2 linked regions of the Drosophila melanogaster genome follow. The protein of the gene in region 1 interacts with the protein of each later gene in a pairwise test. Each region holds a gene or a part of one and is shown on either strand. Other genes may lie near its edges.

Region 1 (4,916 bases):
ATGGATTTGGTTTTAATGGTGAGTTTGGGGATGCTCTGGGCGTTGTTTAGGTCGTGCGTCATTATGACCGTGTGCACGTGCTCCTGACCGCCGCCACCTGTCTTGATTGTTAACTTTGGTATCTGCTGCTGCTGCTGCGGAAGCTCCTCACTGCTGCTGATGCAGCTACTACCGGCTAGCGTTGTCTTGATCATCAGCTTGGGCACCGTCTGCATCTCCGCCAGTGAGGACGACGACGACGATGAGGAGGAGGACGAGGCAGATGAAGACGAGGCGGATGCGGGCGAGAGGCTGGACAGGTGGGCATCGTTCTTGGCGGGCATAGCTGACTGGGCGCCACTCACAGCTGCTGAGCACGATCCAGAGTTGGAGTTGGAGCCGGAAGCAGCCGGATTCTCAGGCAACTTGATGGTCAGCTTAGGCACCACGCTGCCTACGCGCCTCTCGTTCGCGGCGCGGATGGTCAGCTTTGGCACAATGTGCGGGGTGTTTCGTAGTTGTTGGCCGAGGGTGGTAGCCACCTCGTCCTCGGCGCACGACGAGGAGCAGGAAGAGGCGTCCGCATCGAAGGCATCTTGCTGCTTCGCAACCAAGCCTCCTTCCGCTCCGCCGCAGGGCAGCTGAATGCGCAGGGGCTCCACGCGCCTCTCATCTCCGCCCGGCTGAGATTCATTTGCGTTTGAGTTGGGATTGGCGTGCTTGGAGAGCTTCAGGATGATCTTATGTCCATCCCGCTCCTCGCTCTCTACCTCAAGCGCCGTAGCGGCCATCGGTCCACCTGCTGCTCCCGCTGCTGATGCTGCTGATGGTGCTTCTCCGGATGCTGAGCTGGCCGATGCAGATGCTCCAGTTGTGCTTGGGGCATCGTCGCACGGCGTCGTCGGCGGTGGCAGCGTCGGCGGAGGCGACGCTGTGGTGCTGGTTATATGGCCGGGCTGATTATGCTGGTGCTGCAGTGCCTCCTCCCGCTGCTGCTGCTGCTGTGGCTCTGGCTCCTGTTCCCGGTCCCGATCTGCATTCAGCTGCTGATCCCGCTGGGCTGGCGACGACGTGGAGCTAACTCGCTGCTCCTCCTCGCTCGTGCTGCTCGCTGCCACTGACTTGGCGTTGCTATTAGCGCTACAGTTAGACTGGGGGCGACCTGCTGCTCCGGCTGATCCTGCTGTGGACGTGGCGGCTGCCGATTCTACCGCTGTTCCCGATTCCGATCCTGATGACGATGTCGCTGCTACCATCTGCTGCTGACGTAAATCATTCATTGCTATATTCGATTGTCCAGTGGGCCGCCAGCCTGCAAAAAGAAGTGGACGATACTTTAGATCAGGGTGCATGATAGCAGTCGATAAGATTCGGGACTTTCAACAACTAATTCTTAAATTTGCATGTGAAATCAATCCTAAAGAAAACCGCCAATACAGCATATAATAATGCGTATAATTGCCGCTCCAAGGGATGCATTTTGTTTACACTAAAAAGAGACAATTTGAAAAGGGGAACGACCTACAGACACACACACCCACAAATACACTCATACATACATACATACATATATGTACATTTGTACATACACACTTATTGGAGCCCAATGAAAGAATAAAATTGAATGAAAGCCGGGTAGAGTTACGAACTAATTATAGCACATGTCTAAACAATTAAACCGTATTTGTAAATACCGAAGGACGCGCAGGTTTAAACAGTCGCCAGCCGAAAATTCCGATGAAAATGCAATACGATTTTCCGGCGCTGAAAAACTACCGCTCGAAATTGCCGCGAAAAACTTCAAGCGAAATAAACACAAGAAGAACCACGGCGAGGGCAACAACAACAACACTTAATAAATAATAAGCGCTGCAAACATGCGCACACAGCTGTCGACTGGGGGAGAACGTGAAAAGGCAGGAGGAAGATGAGGATGAAGCGGAATGGCTATGGCGTTGAGCGCAGAGGAGCGCAGCGAAGCAGCGGGATAGGCAAATACTGAGAAAGCCGCGCCGCCACGAATTATGGCCTGTTTGTTACTGGTGTGTGCTGGCAACACTGACGCGAATTCACCACGCTGGCGGCCAAATCCACCACAAGCAGTCGATGCCGCTGCATGGAGAAAATCCACACACACACACACACATACGAAGGAGCACGACACGCACACACTCATATGGGTTGGTTGCCCTGGCCTGCGTATATGTATGCTTACATTTCTACTGGCCAAATGCAAGCATCTATCTATCTGCACTAGGACTAATATTATTGTGAGCACGATTTTAGAGCGCAATATCGACAGCCAGTGCACTGGCAACAAAATTAGCAACAACGACGCCGCCGCCAAAGCCCTGACCCAACACCACCACTACAACCACTACCACTACCAATACCAACGACAACAACAATAACGAACGGGGCAAAGAAGAAGCAGCAACGACAAGCAAACGGCAAACTCACCATGCGGCAAAGTCGTCGCTCAGAGACAGACAAAAGAAGATGGTGGAGTAGAAGAGCGCCTGCTTTTGATTTGCGTGCACAATTCGCGATTGCGATTTGGATTTGCTATTTCGTTTGCCTTTGCCTTTGCTGGCATTGGCATGCTCATATTTCTATGCACTTTGATTGATGCTGCGCGACGCCGTGCGGCAATTTTCTTTTTTAGGCGTTCGGCGTTGTTGGGCGAGAAGTAAAACACATTTTTCCATACGATTCAATGCGATTTCGAAGCACGGGCAACACTCGACTCTCGGCCGCAGTAGGCACTACTCGCACGCACACATCGGCGGTGCACACGCATGCACACACACACACACAACAGCAACAGAACGGCACACACACACACACGCTCAGTCGTACGCACACAAAGGCAGCGACACAGAGACAAGCGCAACGAGCTCTCTCAGTCGCCGTTGTCCCACTTTCCGTGTATTGGTTTCGATTCGTACACTTTTCCACGCACTTTTAACGATTCAAATTCGATGGTACAGAAGGCAGGGCGACACGAGAGTGCATTGGAAACTGGCGCAAACCTCAAAAAAATATATCCAACACGCTGGCCGCACGCACGACTCGTATGCAGACTGGTTCTCGGCGCGCGTCGAACGTTCTTATGCATTCATTATTGAACGGAATGCTCTGTTTCGCCTGTCTGCTTATGTTTTTTTCTTTTCGATTCCGAGGTACTCGTCACGACAAATGAAAATCAGTGTGGCCGTTTTGCGGCTGTCAGCTAGATACCCGGCTGGCGGGGAATGTGCTAAGAAATACCACAAAATCGACGGGGATAGCCGGGATACAAACCAGTCGGTGCACTTGACTACCGCTAAATGCGTCTTTACTAAATTGCATTTTTAGCTTTTAGCATGCAAATTATGAACTATAACCTAATTAAAATACCCATTATGGTTATTACTTTTGATCAATGTAATCATCGGTCATTCGCAATCACGCGCTCACGTCCATTCATTATTTCTTTGCAATGTCATCCTTTTTCAAAGATATCAAGCCTATTTTCTTCAAAATTGTAGACTTTTGCATTTTGCACCAACAAAGCATGCGCAAGCAGTTGTATTTGGCAAATCATGTTTGATTTCATTCAGACTTTGTGTTTTCGTACGGCGGGAAGTTTCTCTGAAAATTTAAATTTATGTACATATTTACATCGACGCTGGAAAACAAATAGCGCGCTTGCGTTTCACCAATTTCCAGCGGCATTTGCGCGGTTCTGGCCACACTGTTCGGCACACAACATAATCCTGGTTGTCGCCACTTGTTTTCGATCATTTTAGACTTAAACCAATGCAAAAGGAATTTCCTGCTAACGTTATCGATAATCGCAATAGACGCCAAATCGCCAGTTTTACCTCTTCCTTTTTCGCAGGCCCCGTTCCGTTCAGCGAATTCTCGCCCGAGCTAAGTCTATTGCAAGCGTCCGGCTATAGAAATCGACGACAAATCGCTAGTTCCACCTCTTCCTTTTCGCAGGCCCCATTCCGTTCAGCGAACTCTCGCCCGATCTAAGCGTCCGGCGATAGGAATCCACCTCTTCCTTTTCGCAGGTCCCGTTCCGTTCAGCGAGTTCTCGCCGACACTAAGTGCATTGCAAGCGTCCGGCGACAGTTCTTACCCAGATCTTGTCAAGTTAACACGATGAGTGCTCAACCGAGTCCGCATATGAATCCTCAGCAGCAGCAGCAGCAGCAACAGCAGCAGCAGCAGACCGAGCAGGAGAAGGTAAGCCGATGTCGGCAAGAACGCGTGCTAGCTTTAACTTATCGCCCGCCAGGTGTACCAGTGGATCAATGAGCTGGCCCATCCGGACACGCGTGAAACCGCTCTGCTCGAGCTAAGCAAGAAGCGTGAGACGGACCTGGCCCCCATGCTGTGGAACAGCTTCGGGACCGCCTGCGCCCTGTTGCAGGAGATTGTTAACATCTACCCATCGATAACGCCGCCCACTTTGACGGCCCACCAGTCGAACCGCGTGTGCAACGCCCTGGCGCTGCTGCAGTGCGTCGCCTCGCACCCGGAGACTCGCACGGCCTTCCTGCAGGCCCAGATACCGCTGTACTTGTACCCTTTCTTGTCGACCACGTCCAAGACCAGGCCCTTCGAGTACTTGCGCCTGACCAGTTTGGGCGTGATTGGTGCTCTGGTCAAGGTAGGTTAAGCCGAAGGCCAGTGGTCATCTAATGCACTAATGCACTTGTTGTCTTCTTATTACTGCTATCGACAGACCGACGAACAGGAGGTGATCACCTTTCTGCTGACCACCGAGATCGTGCCCCTTTGTCTGAGCATCATGGACAGCGGATCGGAGCTGAGCAAGACTGTGGCCACTTTCATCATCCAGAAGATCCTGCTCGATGAGTCGGGTCTGTCGTACATCTGCCAGACCTACGAACGCTTTTCGCACGTGGCCATCACCCTGGTGA
Region 2 (4,692 bases), on another chromosome or scaffold:
GTGGAGAAGGTCCTGTGGCATCCCACACAGACCGACTACTTCATCGTGGGCACCAACGATGGCACCTTGCATTACGCCGACAAACGTTCTCCTGGACAACTGCTGTGGTCCGTAAAGGCCCACAACGAGGAAATCTCCGGTGTGTGCTTCAACAACCAGAAGCCTAATCTGCTGACCTCCACCTCCACGGAGGGCACCCTAAAGGTGTGGAACTTTGATGGCACAGAGGCAAAGCACGTCTACGAGCACGAGTTCAACATGGGTCGCTTGCAGTGCATGCGCCAGTGCCCCGAGGATCCCTACACCCTGGCCTTCGGCGGAGAGAAGCCTCCGCGCTGTGCGATCTTTAACATCAAGAACTCGATAGCCGTGCGCCGAACGTTTGGAATCCCTGATGCAGAGTAGGCAAATCGTACAGCTACGTATTTATCTGTGTATATGCTTTATATGACTTTTAAATAAATATGAATTATATATAAGAACCTTAATGATTGACTTTTATATTAATTAAAATTTATTGATAACTTGCGCATATATGCACTTTACACTTTTATGCTTAAACAACTAATCGACATTTCAGGGGGGATGGGTCACAAACGAAATACAAAACATTAATCCTAAACATTCCGAGCATTCCTTAACACTACATTACGTATACCAAATAAGCTTATCTGTGCTCCTAACTCTTGAATAGACCCACGCACATCAGGAGATTTCGGCGCGTAAAGTGCAGGCTGACAAATGGCGAGTTCTTGCTGGGGAAAGTACGCATGAGGTAGACGTCCTCGTCGTTCTCATCCTGATGGTGCGACACAGTGATGTGATTGCTGATATAGTCTTCGGTAACCTTGTGAAAGTCCCACAGAGTTAGATTGTTATCCAAGCCGGCTGCAGCCAGGACTGTTCCATCGCGACTAAAGGTGATCGTGGTCACAGTGCTAGTGTGCCTCAACAGGGTGGTGACCAGGGATCCGTTCGACAGATCCCAGATGATGATATTGTGATCTACTGAACCCGAGGCCAGATACCGGCCGCAGGCGGAGAAGGCCAGAGAACTCACCGATCCCTTGTGGCCCGTCATCAGGCGTACCGACTGACCGGTCATGTTGTCCCACAGGCGTACCGTGCGATCGCTAGAACCGGTGGCCACATAATTGGAATTGGGATGAAATTGTACACAATCCACGTCCGACAAGTGACCCACGAATACGCGCAACGCTTGATTGGAATCCGTGGCCCACAGACGAGCAGTTTTGTCGTACGAACAAGAAACAAAATAGTAGCCATGCGGCGCAAAGCGAACATCCCACACCGGGTAAACGTGCCCGCGGTAGGTGACTACGCAGGACCAGGTGAGCAGAGACCACAGCCTTATGGTGCTGTCCTCGGAACATGAGAGCAACAGGTTCATCTCGGGGGCAAAGGCACAGCGGTATACGGGTCCGGTGTGACCCATTAAGCTCCTGGTTACCTCACCACTTCGGTCATCCAGCATACGCACATTGATATCCGCCGATTCCTTGTCCAGTTCGCGAAGGGAATCTGCATCCTTCAGCGTACGCAGCTTCGCGGGCGTCAATGACCAAATCCTCACGCTAGAATCGCCAAATCCACAGGCCAACATCGTGGAATCGTCTGAAATCTCGGCACAGGTTACGCCCTGATGGGAATTAAGCACCGTGTAGAAGACGGCAGAGGGCAGTTGATCCTTGCTGAGGGCTAAACGCTTGCTGGCTTCCCTGAGAGCCTTAAGCTTTAGCAACTTGTCCGAATCCTTCAGTTCCGGCAGGGGAATTCTGTCGATGGATGGAGCATTCGGATCCGACTTGGACTTTTTCGACAGCAGGGGATCCTTTTTTGGCTTTTTCTTTTTCGGACGATCCGGGGCATCCGGATCATCGTCCTCCTCCTCTGGTGCCGGCGCTGGAGTGGTCAGAGTCTGAAAGTCCACCTCCTTGAGCAGTCCGTAGTACACCCGCATTTTGTTGTCCTGTCGCTTGGCCTCTCCGAGGTGCGAGCCCGCGGTGGCGACGCACTGCAGCTTGTTGCGCGCCATGCCCTCGTATGTGTCGAAATGCAAGTACTTGGAAACAATATCTGCCACCACTTCCTGCCGGCGATCCTGAATGTGTCGCTTGAACAGAGAGTGCGAGTCCCTGGACATGCGAATGACAAACTTATCCTGCTCCATGGCTACTACGAGGTCATTCTCCAGCAGCTCCTCGGGCTTAGACAGCAAAAGAAGGTTGAAAAGACCCTCTATGTAGTAGCCGTCGAGATCGCATTTGTACTTCTCAATGAATTCTTTGGCCTTCTCCCTTAGTCCACTGGCGAGGATCTTGAAGTAGATCTGCACCAGAATTGGGTACAGAACCATGGACAGCTCATGCTTGTATATGTCCAGGGAGTCCTCAACGAAAGTGCGCAGCTCCTTGTATGCCTGCTCATAGTGCTGAGCATCAAAGCTGTCGTCGTCGATGAACTTGGCCAGTTCCTCTGCAGCATTGGCCTCCGTCACCGCGGACTGTTTATGACCCTGCGCCGGAGATTGGACATGTTTCCGCTCCCGGTTGGCATCGCCAGCTCCCAAAACTGCGCCCAGCACCTGCTGAACATCACTTTCGCTGATTTCCGACAATTCCACACTGCTCACATTCGCCTCTTGGCAGAGCAGCTCCTCAGTGCTCTTCAGCTGGTACTTTTTGATGAGTTTCAGCAGGCACAGCAGCTCACGCTTGTCGTGGGACAATTGAGTACCGTTTCCCCCGTTTATATTGCTCACTTCCAGGCTCATTTTCGCGGAAAATTGAAATATATGGAACTTGTGTACTATTTTGTTATGCGTGGAAAAGTGTGACCAGGTTGGCATCGGTTGAAAACGGCCAAGTGGAGAATGAAATATACTAAAATGCACCAAGTACAGTCAAAATATACAGTAGCCACTAGCGAAGACGGATTCTAAAAATAAATTGTATTAATACATTATAAATTATATCTTTTTGCCAATTTTTGGAATTACTTAAAATATAATGACATATTTCATTCTTTCATTTTACTACAAAATTAATATTTAACTTTTATGCAGGTCAAAGAAATTATTTGAAGATGTGCTTATAAAGGTCTTACTGTGGACAGCTGACTGAATACTTTTAGTATTTTTTGAGCAAATATCTTACCAGAATCAAAACATTCGTAATGAAGAGGAGAGTAATTGTGAAAAAGGTAAAATACAAAGTAACTGGCCAAATAAACAAGCTAATTTTTATAGCAGAGGGTAATAATTTGCTGTGCATTAACAGAATTAACTTGCCATTGCATATTTCAGTGTATTTGTCTGGCGCCTATCCCCCAACTCCTTGAACTTTGACACCGCCTCCTCGAAATTAACCCTTGTACTCGTGCTTTCTGTTGTGTTTAGTCCATATTTATTGTAAAAAATGAATGAAAATGATGATGCGGTAGGTCCATATGTAACATTTAAGCCATATTAGCTAATATCGTGATCAATTCCCGCAGAAAAAAGTCGTCGGCAAGCGGAATTCGGTGTCGTTCGATCAACAAGATCCAGGACAGCCGAGATTTAGCTTCTCTGGGAGAGTACAGGAGCTAGTCGAGGGCTACAATTCGGCCATACAGCTGCTGGCGCCCAAGTGGCCCTGGTTCCTCTACCCCGGATATCTGACATACGCCGTATACTGGCGTTACGCCAAATATTACAAGGGCAAGTTTCTGCTGACCCCCATTCCGAACCGCCTCTACGATCTGCTGATCAAGAACGAGCAGATTAAGTCGGAGCACCTGGTGTTCGCCAGTCAGGAGGTGTACGAAAACTATGCGGAATCGCCGGACGTCAACTTTGTCAACTTGGTTATCCGCGGCAGGAGGGTAAGAATCGGTAAGCCGCTAGCTTCAGACGAAGGAAATATGACCCAAACGGTTATCAAGCAAATGCTCCAGGAGGCGCCGCATACGATTGTGGCCCAGATCTTGCCGGCTGCACAGTGCCAACCCAATTGTCTGTACGTTCAGGTGGGTATCTAGTTCTAAATAAATGGAATATTTTCTATAATTCTACATCGTGTAAAATTTCAGGAGAACTTCTACGGCAACATATTGGATCGCTTTCAAATCCGCTCCAACTGCTGGGTGCAGGTAGAGCATTTTGCCGATGAGCAGACAATACCTGGAATAGCAACCAAAGCACATGTGTACTTAGTCGCAGATCCCCATGAACTTCCCGCCGAACTGACAGAGGTCATCCTGAGCAACTATTTCAATACACCTCGACTCATGCATCGTGGACATACCTACCGCATCGAGGTGAACGCAGAGTTGGTGGGCACTGCGACTTATGCCCACTATTACCTGATATTCGCTCACCTACGCCACGTCCACCTAAAGTGTATTCACCTGGAGACAAAGGGCAGCGAGTTCGAGCTGCAAGCGATTGTTGCCAAAAACTTTAGCAACCTTGTTCAAGTGCCTGCATCTCACAGTTTCCTGCCTCGTCAAGTGCTTGACAGCATGGCCATCGTTGAGAACTATCCAAGTGGACTTCGAAAGCCCTATAAGCTGTTGCGCTCCTCAGTAGATGCTTTCCTGCCAAAAAAGTCCGCCTGCCTGTCGTCAAAGCACATATTTCCTGTGTTCCTCCTGCAAGGCGAGCGAGGATCGGGCAAATCAAAGCTTGTG

The links. The genes of interacting proteins can lie anywhere in the genome.
Region 2: the proteins of e(y)3 (region 1) and Taf5 interact in binary tests that used the Drosophila melanogaster proteins (3 or more experiments, as listed by UniProt).

The regions. Positions count from the first base shown.
Region 1 is NC_004354.4:19,635,179-19,640,094, forward strand, and holds the start of e(y)3 (enhancer of yellow 3), read right to left. Parts: upstream 3,192-4,916; 5' UTR 2,195-3,191; exon of another isoform or gene 1,674-2,194; intron 1,292-1,673; 5' UTR 1,260-1,291; coding exon 1-1,259. Other genes in the region: Rcd-1 (required for cell differentiation 1), read left to right, coding at 4,132-4,215, 4,268-4,642, 4,718-4,912. UniProt on the Drosophila melanogaster protein: Essential transcription regulator during early development. Coactivates transcription of some euchromatin genes and repress transcription in of euchromatin genes translocated to heterochromatin.
Region 2 is NT_033778.4:10,876,812-10,881,503, forward strand, and holds Taf5 (TBP-associated factor 5), read right to left. Parts: upstream 2,863-4,692; 5' UTR 2,795-2,862; coding exon 680-2,794; 3' UTR 501-679; downstream 1-500. Other genes in the region: nclb (no child left behind), read left to right, coding at 1-405; Pex6 (peroxin 6), read left to right, coding at 3,196-3,222, 3,517-4,029, 4,093-4,692. UniProt on the Drosophila melanogaster protein: TFIID is a multimeric protein complex that plays a central role in mediating promoter responses to various activators and repressors. May play a role in helping to anchor Taf4 within the TFIID complex.